Linked DNA regions of Saccharomyces cerevisiae S288C. Changing the gene in region 1 together with any one later gene gives a genetic interaction. Each region holds a gene or a part of one and is shown in the gene's direction. Other genes may lie near its edges.

Region 1 (5,724 bases):
ATAGAACAACGTACAGCGAAACATTGTACAGTGTAGACCAGTGATATTCAGATGGGTCATGGTAGTACAAATACAACGTACAATGACAGTAAGTGTATGGGACACCGGCAATATTCCAGAAGATCAGCATAAATCCAAACTTTTCGTAAGCCATGTCCCAGGTTGGAACAATCAATTCTTCACCTTTAGCACATGCGTTCGCGTACAACCAATGAGCTAACATGACAACCCCCAATTGTGGTGTCACATAGCCGTAAGTCTCCCACTGCTTCAAACAGGCACCCAAAGTGATAAAGTAAAGGGTGAACCAAGGTAATCTAACCTCGAAAAACATCTTCAAGTCCAAAATCCCCCACCTAGGGTTTAGTGGAGCTCCCATGAAGAAATCATATAGATGGTTTCCTGTCATTCTATGATAGTCATGTGAGATAAATAAAGTCCATAAGTACAATATGATGGAGAAGGCAAACCCTGAAATAATGGCACATGTCATGATCCTCCCAAAACGGTCAATAATGACATACAATCTAAAAAGATTGGTAAAGTGCAAAACCAAGACCAAAGTGGTAGTTACATACAAGGTCCACATGGCATTACAAAAGTAAGGCAATTGTTTTCCCTTCAAATGAGACAATGGTTGACCTTTTGTCCAAATCCCGGGCAACGTATAGTAGAAAATGATCTGAAACACCCAAAATGTTAAGAAAATAGTCCAGTCATACTTTTCTGGGATACCGTTCTCCAAGACTAACTGGTATAGGTGCTTGATAAAGTGCATCCACGATTCACCAGCCTTGGGTAGGGCAACCTTACCGTGATAAAATTCCGCACAAATCCACATATAGTACATTAGCAGTGGAAACCCGATCAGCATACCAATAACACCAGTAGTCCCACCAAACTCATATTCGATTTCATTTGGCTTCAGCCATTTACCCTGAGGCAGGAAATTAACCGGTTGCTTGGACTTTTTCTCCTCTCCCTGCACCTGCAGCTTCTCACTATTATCCTTTGCCATAGCGATGCTAATCTATGTACACTACGTAAATATCCGTATCTGCCTATCTACATAACTGAACTACATTCCTACGTTATTACCACTGTTTGGTAATTTTTCCTCGAGGATATATAATTCTGCTTTTCCATAGTAACGCCAAACGATCGCGTAATACCGGCAATTACGGGATGCACGAAAATAGCGCCAAGGAACGAAAAAGAAATGAGTCTCGTTTAGTTATTAAACGAGAAGAAACGAGCCCTGATTTACATTCTCAGGGTCCAATAGGGCTTTGTTGGAAACAGACGCATACCCTAAATGGAGTTTCTTTTCTTGTTCAAGACCTAATGAGTGGCAATAAGAGGCGCTAATTAAAGCTCTTCAAAACAACCTTATTCGCCTATTACACATGATCAGCCACTCTTTCATTGTCAACAATAGCATGATAGCAGGACCATAGCGGCCATATAGACATTACCAGGAGTGAGTTTTGGCTAAAAAAAGACAATTTGCACATCACTTGCTAACTATTCATCTCAGCCAAGAATATACAGAAAAGAATCCAAGAAACTGGAAGATGCGAGGCTTGACACCTAAGAACGGTGTACATATTGAGACGGGTCCGGATACAGAATCGTCCGCGGACTCCAGCAACTTTTCTACAGGTTTCAGCGGCAAGATTCGTAAGCCAAGGTCGAAAGTAAGTAAAGCGTGCGATAACTGTAGAAAAAGAAAGATAAAATGTAATGGGAAGTTTCCCTGCGCAAGCTGTGAGATATATTCATGTGAGTGCACGTTCAGCACTAGACAAGGTGGCGCTCGAATAAAAAACCTTCACAAGACGAGTTTGGAAGGTACAACCGTACAAGTCAAAGAGGAAACAGATTCCAGTTCGACTTCTTTTTCTAATCCTCAGCGATGTACAGACGGGCCATGCGCAGTGGAACAACCAACGAAATTTTTTGAGAATTTCAAGCTAGGTGGTCGTAGTAGTGGTGATAATAGCGGAAGTGATGGGAAGAATGACGACGATGTGAATAGAAACGGTTTTTATGAAGACGATAGCGAATCACAGGCAACTTTGACATCTCTACAAACCACTCTGAAAAATTTGAAGGAGATGGCTCATTTAGGTACACATGTAACCTCAGCCATCGAGAGCATTGAACTTCAGATAAGTGACTTGCTTAAGCGATGGGAACCCAAAGTGAGGACCAAAGAATTAGCAACAACGAAATTTTACCCTAATAAATCAATAGAAACTCAATTGATGAAAAACAAATACTGTGATGTGGTACATTTGACAAGATATGCCGCTTGGTCAAACAATAAGAAGGACCAAGATACTTCTAGTCAACCTTTGATCGACGAAATCTTTGGTTTGTACTCTCCTTTCCAATTTTTGTCACTTCAAGGTATTGGTAAATGTTTCCAAAATTATAGATCCAAATCCAAATGCGAGATTTTTCCCAGGACCGCCAAGGAAACCATATACATCATGTTAAGGTTTTTCGACGTTTGTTTTCATCACATCAACCAAGGCTGTGTCTCCATAGCTAATCCCCTGGAAAACTACCTACAGAAAATGAATCTTTTACCTTCAACCCCATCTTCGATATCATCTGCAGGGAGCCCGAATACAGCACACACAAAATCGCATGTTGCGTTAGTGATAAATCACTTACCGCAGCCCTTTGTGAGAAATATAACCGGAATAAGTAATTCTGAGCTACTAAGCGAAATGAATAATGATATCAGCATGTTTGGCATTTTATTGAAGATGTTGGATATGCATAAAAATTCCTACCAGAACTTCCTAATGGAAATCACATCTAACCCCTCCGTGGCTAAAAACACGCAGTCAATTGATGTCTTGCAGGAATTCATCCATTATTGTCAAGCTGGAGAGGCGCTAATCGCCTTATGTTACAGCTATTATAATTCTACATTATACAACTACGTGGACTTCACATGCGACATAACGCATTTAGAGCAACTTCTATACTTTTTGGATCTGCTATTTTGGCTATCGGAAATATACGGTTTTGAAAAAGTCTTGAACGTAGCAGTTCATTTTGTTTCAAGAGTTGGTTTATCAAGGTGGGAATTTTACGTGGGTCTTGATGAAAACTTTGCTGAAAGAAGAAGAAATCTCTGGTGGAAAGCTTTCTATTTCGAGAAAACTTTAGCCTCTAAACTTGGCTATCCTTCGAACATTGATGACTCCAAAATCAATTGTTTATTACCTAAGAATTTTCGAGATGTTGGGTTCTTGGATAATAGAGATTTTATCGAGAACGTCCACTTAGTTCGCAGGAGCGAAGCTTTTGACAACATGTGCATATCCGACTTAAAATACTATGGCGAATTAGCTGTCTTACAAATAGTCAGCCATTTCTCATCATCTGTTTTATTCAATGAAAAATTCACGTCAATTAGGAATACATCAAAACCATCTGTTGTTAGAGAGAAACTACTCTTCGAGGTACTCGAGATTTTTAACGAAACAGAAATGAAATATGATGCTATCAAAGAGCAAACTGGAAAATTGTTCGATATTGCATTCTCTAAAGATAGTACTGAACTCAAAGTTTCAAGAGAGGATAAGATTATGGCTTCAAAATTTGTTCTATTTTACGAGCACCATTTCTGCAGAATGGTTAACGAATCTGATAATATTGTCGCCAGATTATGCGTGCACAGAAGGCCCTCAATACTAATTGAAAACTTGAAAATATACCTTCACAAGATTTACAAATCATGGACCGATATGAACAAAATCTTATTAGACTTTGACAACGATTATTCCGTATACCGTTCGTTCGCCCATTATTCTATCAGTTGCATTATTTTGGTATCACAAGCATTCTCAGTGGCCGAATTCATTAAAGTAAATGACGTTGTGAATATGATTAGAGTCTTCAAAAGATTTTTGGATATAAAAATTTTTTCCGAAAATGAGACCAATGAGCATGTCTTCAACAGCCAAAGCTTTAAAGACTATACAAGAGCTTTTTCTTTCCTGACAATCGTCACTCGTATCATGCTTTTGGCATACGGAGAGTCCTCTAGCACCAACCTCGATGTTATCTCCAAATATATTGATGAGAATGCGCCAGATTTAAAAGGTATAATAGAACTTGTCTTGGATACAAACTCTTGCGCTTATCGATTTTTATTAGAACCTGTTCAGAAGTCAGGATTCCATTTAACGGTCTCACAAATGTTGAAAAATAGAAAGTTTCAGGAACCACTAATGTCAAATGAAGATAATAAGCAGATGAAGCATAATTCGGGAAAAAATTTGAATCCGGATCTCCCAAGTCTTAAGACGGGCACTTCATGCTTACTAAATGGCATTGAATCGCCTCAATTGCCATTCAATGGTCGCTCAGCACCTTCCCCAGTGAGAAACAACTCACTACCGGAGTTTGCACAATTGCCTTCATTTAGGTCATTATCCGTGTCTGATATGATCAATCCCGATTACGCGCAACCAACAAATGGGCAAAATAATACGCAAGTCCAATCTAATAAACCAATCAATGCTCAGCAGCAAATACCCACTTCAGTACAAGTACCATTTATGAACACAAATGAAATCAATAACAACAACAACAACAACAACAACAATAAAAACAATATTAACAATATTAACAACAACAACAGTAACAATTTTTCTGCAACTAGTTTTAATTTGGGGACACTAGATGAATTTGTTAATAACGGTGATCTTGAGGACCTCTACAGTATCCTGTGGAGCGACGTTTATCCAGATAGTTAAACGTATACGTTTGTATAGATAAAAGTTCTCAAAAACTTCCTTCCTTTTTTTTTTCTTTTGAGTTTACTTATTTAAATAAGAACATTCTGTTTTCTAGGGCATCTCCTTCTCTTATTTCTTCAACACTATTTACCAGTATACCATAAAGTGAAAATTCCTATTTTTTTTGCTTTGGATATTCATTTGATCCTCAACGAAAAAAAAAATGATGTATTTTAGTATTGTACAAAAGATATTATATGAGGCTAACGTAAAAAAAGCTAAACTGAGGATATATGTATCAACTATGAATCTAAATGTAACATTCCGATGATTCTTTTACCATGAGGTGTATTTCTTATGGGGCCCACCAGTAAAGGCGCCACAATCTCTGATAGTCTTTTATAGAGATAGTCATTTTGCTTATGAGAAATGTCTAATGCTGTCTGTAAAACGTAATTTCCGTAGCTATCATTCAACAATGATTGAATACCCGTCTCGCCACCATTATTTAAAATTTCCAGAATCATTGGCTCCGAAACAATAGCTGTCTTCAAGATTTTTTCAATCACATTTGATCCAAATTTATGGATAGAAAGTTCGATGGCTCTTGGTTTCAACAGGTGGACAATTTTATGCGTATAATCATATTTGTTCTTCTCAGCCTCTTTGGTAATTATATATTGCACCACATAGTTGCCAAATGGATCCAAAGTTAATTTATCAACAAGGGCTAGCAACTTATCACACAGATTGTCACATTGTTCTGTAGTCCCATGATCTAGACAACGTTGCAAAACGCAACACCCGTGTCTATGAGTAGCAATATCAATACAGCTATCAGAGATTGCGTCAAAGATAAACTGGAAGTTTTCAGGCTTCAACCTTTGCAAACATTTTTGAATAACATGATTACCATTTAAATCCTTACTCAACTGGACAGTATAAGGGCGTAAAGAATCAA
Region 2 (3,644 bases), on another chromosome or scaffold:
TGTGCACTAACGGCCTATCACCTTGGCTAGTCATCCAGTACAGCGTCCCCGTGGCTGTGGCCATGGCAGCAGCTGCACCGGCAGCTCTTCTTCTCGTTACCGAAAACATATATTAGTACGTATTTAGTCTTGTAGCAGTGATGGCAATAGCACGGTCAAGATAAGGGAGGGAGAGTCCTTGCTTTAGACCAAAGTTCCCTATTTGTGGCTGTTCTCTTTTAAGTTTAAATACGATTTTTAGCGTGCGGGGTTGTGAAATTTCCCCTGCCAAAACTGAAATAAAGTTGGGTGGATAACGTATCGGAGCAGAGAAAAGACATAAGGTCTGTTGCTGTATATAAGTATGTGTTGCTAAAAAGGAATTAGTGCAGTGATTATTGGTCACTCGCTGATGCCCTTGCGCTTGGCACGTTTCAGCTTCTTTCTAACCGCGAGGATGGGCACAGAGCAGACGAAGTTCTGCAGAGTGGACAGGATGACCGAGAGGGAGCAGCACAGGGCGACTGGCTTGAGGCCGTGGATCATCTCGTTGAGGAGGTGTTTTGGGTACGGATGGGTCAAGGAGAGGACGACGACGTCGAGGTCGTCGAGCACGCCCGCGACGCAGTCAAACAGGTGCATGACGTGCTTTCTGATTCTGGCAACGTTGGCGAACATCTGGGAGTCGTCCGTGGGCTTCGAGGGCTCCCAGTGGACAATGTAGACGGTGTCTCCCTGGTTGACAGCTGCGCCCATGAGATAGGTCAGGGCGTAGGTGGACTCGCTGCTCAGGTCCGTGTAGAGGATGAAGGACCTTTGGTTCCCGGCCTCTGCGCCGGCACCCTTGGTGAGTAGTTGCATGGCTCTGACGTAGCCTCCGTCGAGTTGCTCCAGAGACACGTCTTCGTTTTCGTGGCCACGGATGCTGATCTCGTACTTGGCTATCCAGGGCTTGCTGGAGTCTAGCACTTCGTTTATGCTGGTACAAAAGTTGGGTAACACTTTCATGCCCAGATCGTAGTGGAACTCCTCGTCAATCTCTAAATCGTTCTCTATATCGCTCACTTGCTCTTCATCGGACTCTTCCTCGTCCATATCGTCGCCGTCGCCGTCGTCGTCATCTTCGTCGTTGCCCTCACCTTCCTCTTCAGAATCCACATCCACGACCCTCAACCGCATCGAGGGGTCCTGCCTCAACACGGTCCACTTGAGGAACTCTTCCTCCCTTACTCTGCTGCGGCTACTGGCCCTGCTTCTCGACCGCGACAGACTGCTCACGTTTGAGTCTCGTTCGCCTCTTTTCTTCTTGCTACGACCTCTTTCCCTGTGGCCCCTTTCCATCTGCTCCGAGTCGAACTCCACCGTGGTGGGCGTTTCCGTTTTGATGCTGTGTAGATTCGATTGTGTTCCGTCAGGTTTAGTCAGCAATATGCTCTTCTGCATTGCGTACTTGGTTGTTTCTCTTGTTGGTTCTTTTGGTACTCACCCTTTCCATAGTCTCTTGTGTTTGATCAAGCCTTTTTTCCGGACCTTTAAAGCTTTCTTAAAAAGATAAAATAGGAAGAAAGTGCAAAGTGCAAAAGAACGCACATATGAACAAGCATTAAACGAGCAAAGAAATGTCTCTGGATCGTGTAGATTGGCCGCACGCCACCTTCTCTACGCCGGTGAAGCGTATCTTCGATACGCAGACAACGCTGGACTTCCAATCGTCACTAGCCATTCACAGAATCAAGTATCATCTTCACAAGTACACTACGTTGATATCGCACTGTTCTGACCCCGACCCGCACGCTACTGCGTCGTCGATCGCCATGGTTAACGGGCTGATGGGAGTGTTGGACAAGCTGGCACACCTGATCGACGAGACACCGCCTCTTCCAGGTCCTAGAAGGTATGGTAACCTAGCATGCCGCGAGTGGCATCACAAGCTGGATGAACGTTTGCCTCAGTGGCTGCAGGAAATGCTTCCCTCGGAATACCATGAGGTGGTGCCTGAATTGCAGTATTACCTGGGCAACAGCTTTGGTTCGTCGACAAGATTGGACTACGGCACGGGCCACGAACTTTCGTTCATGGCCACGGTCGCAGCACTGGACATGCTGGGGATGTTTCCGCACATGAGGGGGGCAGACGTTTTTCTGCTGTTCAACAAGTACTACACGATCATGAGGAGGCTGATCCTGACGTATACGCTGGAGCCCGCTGGGTCACATGGCGTGTGGGGGCTTGATGACCATTTCCACTTGGTGTACATCTTGGGCTCGTCTCAATGGCAGCTGCTTGATGCGCAAGCACCCTTGCAACCAAGAGAAATACTGGATAAGTCTCTGGTGCGCGAGTATAAGGACACCAACTTCTACTGCCAAGGCATAAACTTTATTAATGAGGTGAAAATGGGGCCCTTTGAAGAGCATTCCCCCATCCTATACGATATTGCCGTCACCGTTCCACGCTGGTCCAAAGTGTGTAAGGGGCTTCTAAAAATGTATTCTGTAGAGGTTCTGAAGAAGTTCCCCGTGGTGCAACATTTCTGGTTCGGCACAGGCTTCTTTCCCTGGGTCAACATTCAAAACGGCACTGATCTTCCAGTCTTTGAAGAAAAGGAGGAAGAGAGTATAGAACAGGCTAACGCAGGATCGCCCGGTCGAGAACAGACTTCAACACGATTCCCAACGTCCACGTCAATGCCTCCCCCAGGCGTTCCGCCGTCAGGTAACAATATCAACTATTTACTAAGCCATCAAAACCAGTCGCACCGGAACCAGACTTCTTTTTCAAGAGATAGACTACGTAGATAATATTAATTAAACATATAAATGTGTATGACAAGCATTATGACTTCTATTTTCGTTCTTTTTTACTTGCGTCTACAATATATAAGCATATAATCAGATGAAAAAAGGAAAAGGAAGCGGTAATACAAATAAACAAAGAAGTGGAAAAAGTCGCCACAGTGTAAGCAAATGAGTCACAAGAGAAGGGGCCTGGTAATATATCAGGATCAGAAGCAGCAACAACAACACCCCCCGGGGCAGTCCCTAAGCTCTATATCCTGGTCTCCAACCAGGCGACCTCATCACCCTTTAAAACAACAAAGCACCAACAGTTTCTCAGAAATACTATCGAAATCAAGTGTGCAACCGAACGTGCAACATGACGGTAATCATATGCCCATTTCATTGCTAGTTCTGAAACAAGAACATCATAAGCAGCAGCAGCAGCAGCAGCAGCGCCAGAATATCCGATCACAAAACTCTACGCCTCCCCTGCGACAGTTGGTTCAGGAGTCGCAGTGGACGAGCTCCGCAAGTAATAGTTCTCTAAAGAAACAGGAAAAGCAGCCGCAAACATTCTACAACACTGACTCTAAACTTGTTTCTCAACTGCATAGCTCCGTGAAGGACCTGGATGCCATAATCCAGACGCATAAACCAAAGTTTGACACAATTATTCGCGATTTCTCTCAAGCAACCATACTGTCCTCAAACGAGTTACTCATCAAACTTCCGAAGGACCAAACAATAATATTGCATAGCAGAGCGCCAAAAATTAACGCAGAATGGCTACAGAACAAGGTTAATGACCCTAGTGCCTCGTTAGTGATCGATTCAAGATCTTTTCTAACCTTGTGTAACAATATAAAATGGTACCTGCATTGGAAA

Evidence for each region.
Region 2: mutations in PDR1 (region 1) and RRD1 together harm fitness more than expected from each alone (negative genetic interaction), as found in Saccharomyces cerevisiae (2 studies listed by BioGRID).

What each region holds. Positions count from the first base shown.
Region 1 is NC_001139.9:468,149-473,872, reverse strand, and holds PDR1 (drug-responsive transcription factor PDR1), read left to right. Parts: upstream 1-1,574; coding exon 1,575-4,781; downstream 4,782-5,724. Other genes in the region: ERG4 (delta(24(24(1)))-sterol reductase), read right to left, coding at 1-1,018; PUF4 (Puf4p), read right to left, coding at 5,066-5,724. UniProt on the Saccharomyces cerevisiae protein: Positive regulator of proteins involved in permeability. PDR1 and PDR3 jointly control the transcription level of both SNQ2 and PDR5.
Region 2 is NC_001141.2:53,600-57,243, forward strand, and holds RRD1 (peptidylprolyl isomerase RRD1), read left to right. Parts: upstream 1-1,598; coding exon 1,599-2,780; downstream 2,781-3,644. Other genes in the region: GUT2 (glycerol-3-phosphate dehydrogenase), read right to left, coding at 1-109; IMP21 (Imp21p), read right to left, coding at 382-1,422; VPR1 (Vpr1p), read left to right, coding at 2,946-3,644. UniProt on the Saccharomyces cerevisiae protein: PPIases accelerate the folding of proteins. It catalyzes the cis-trans isomerization of proline imidic peptide bonds in oligopeptides.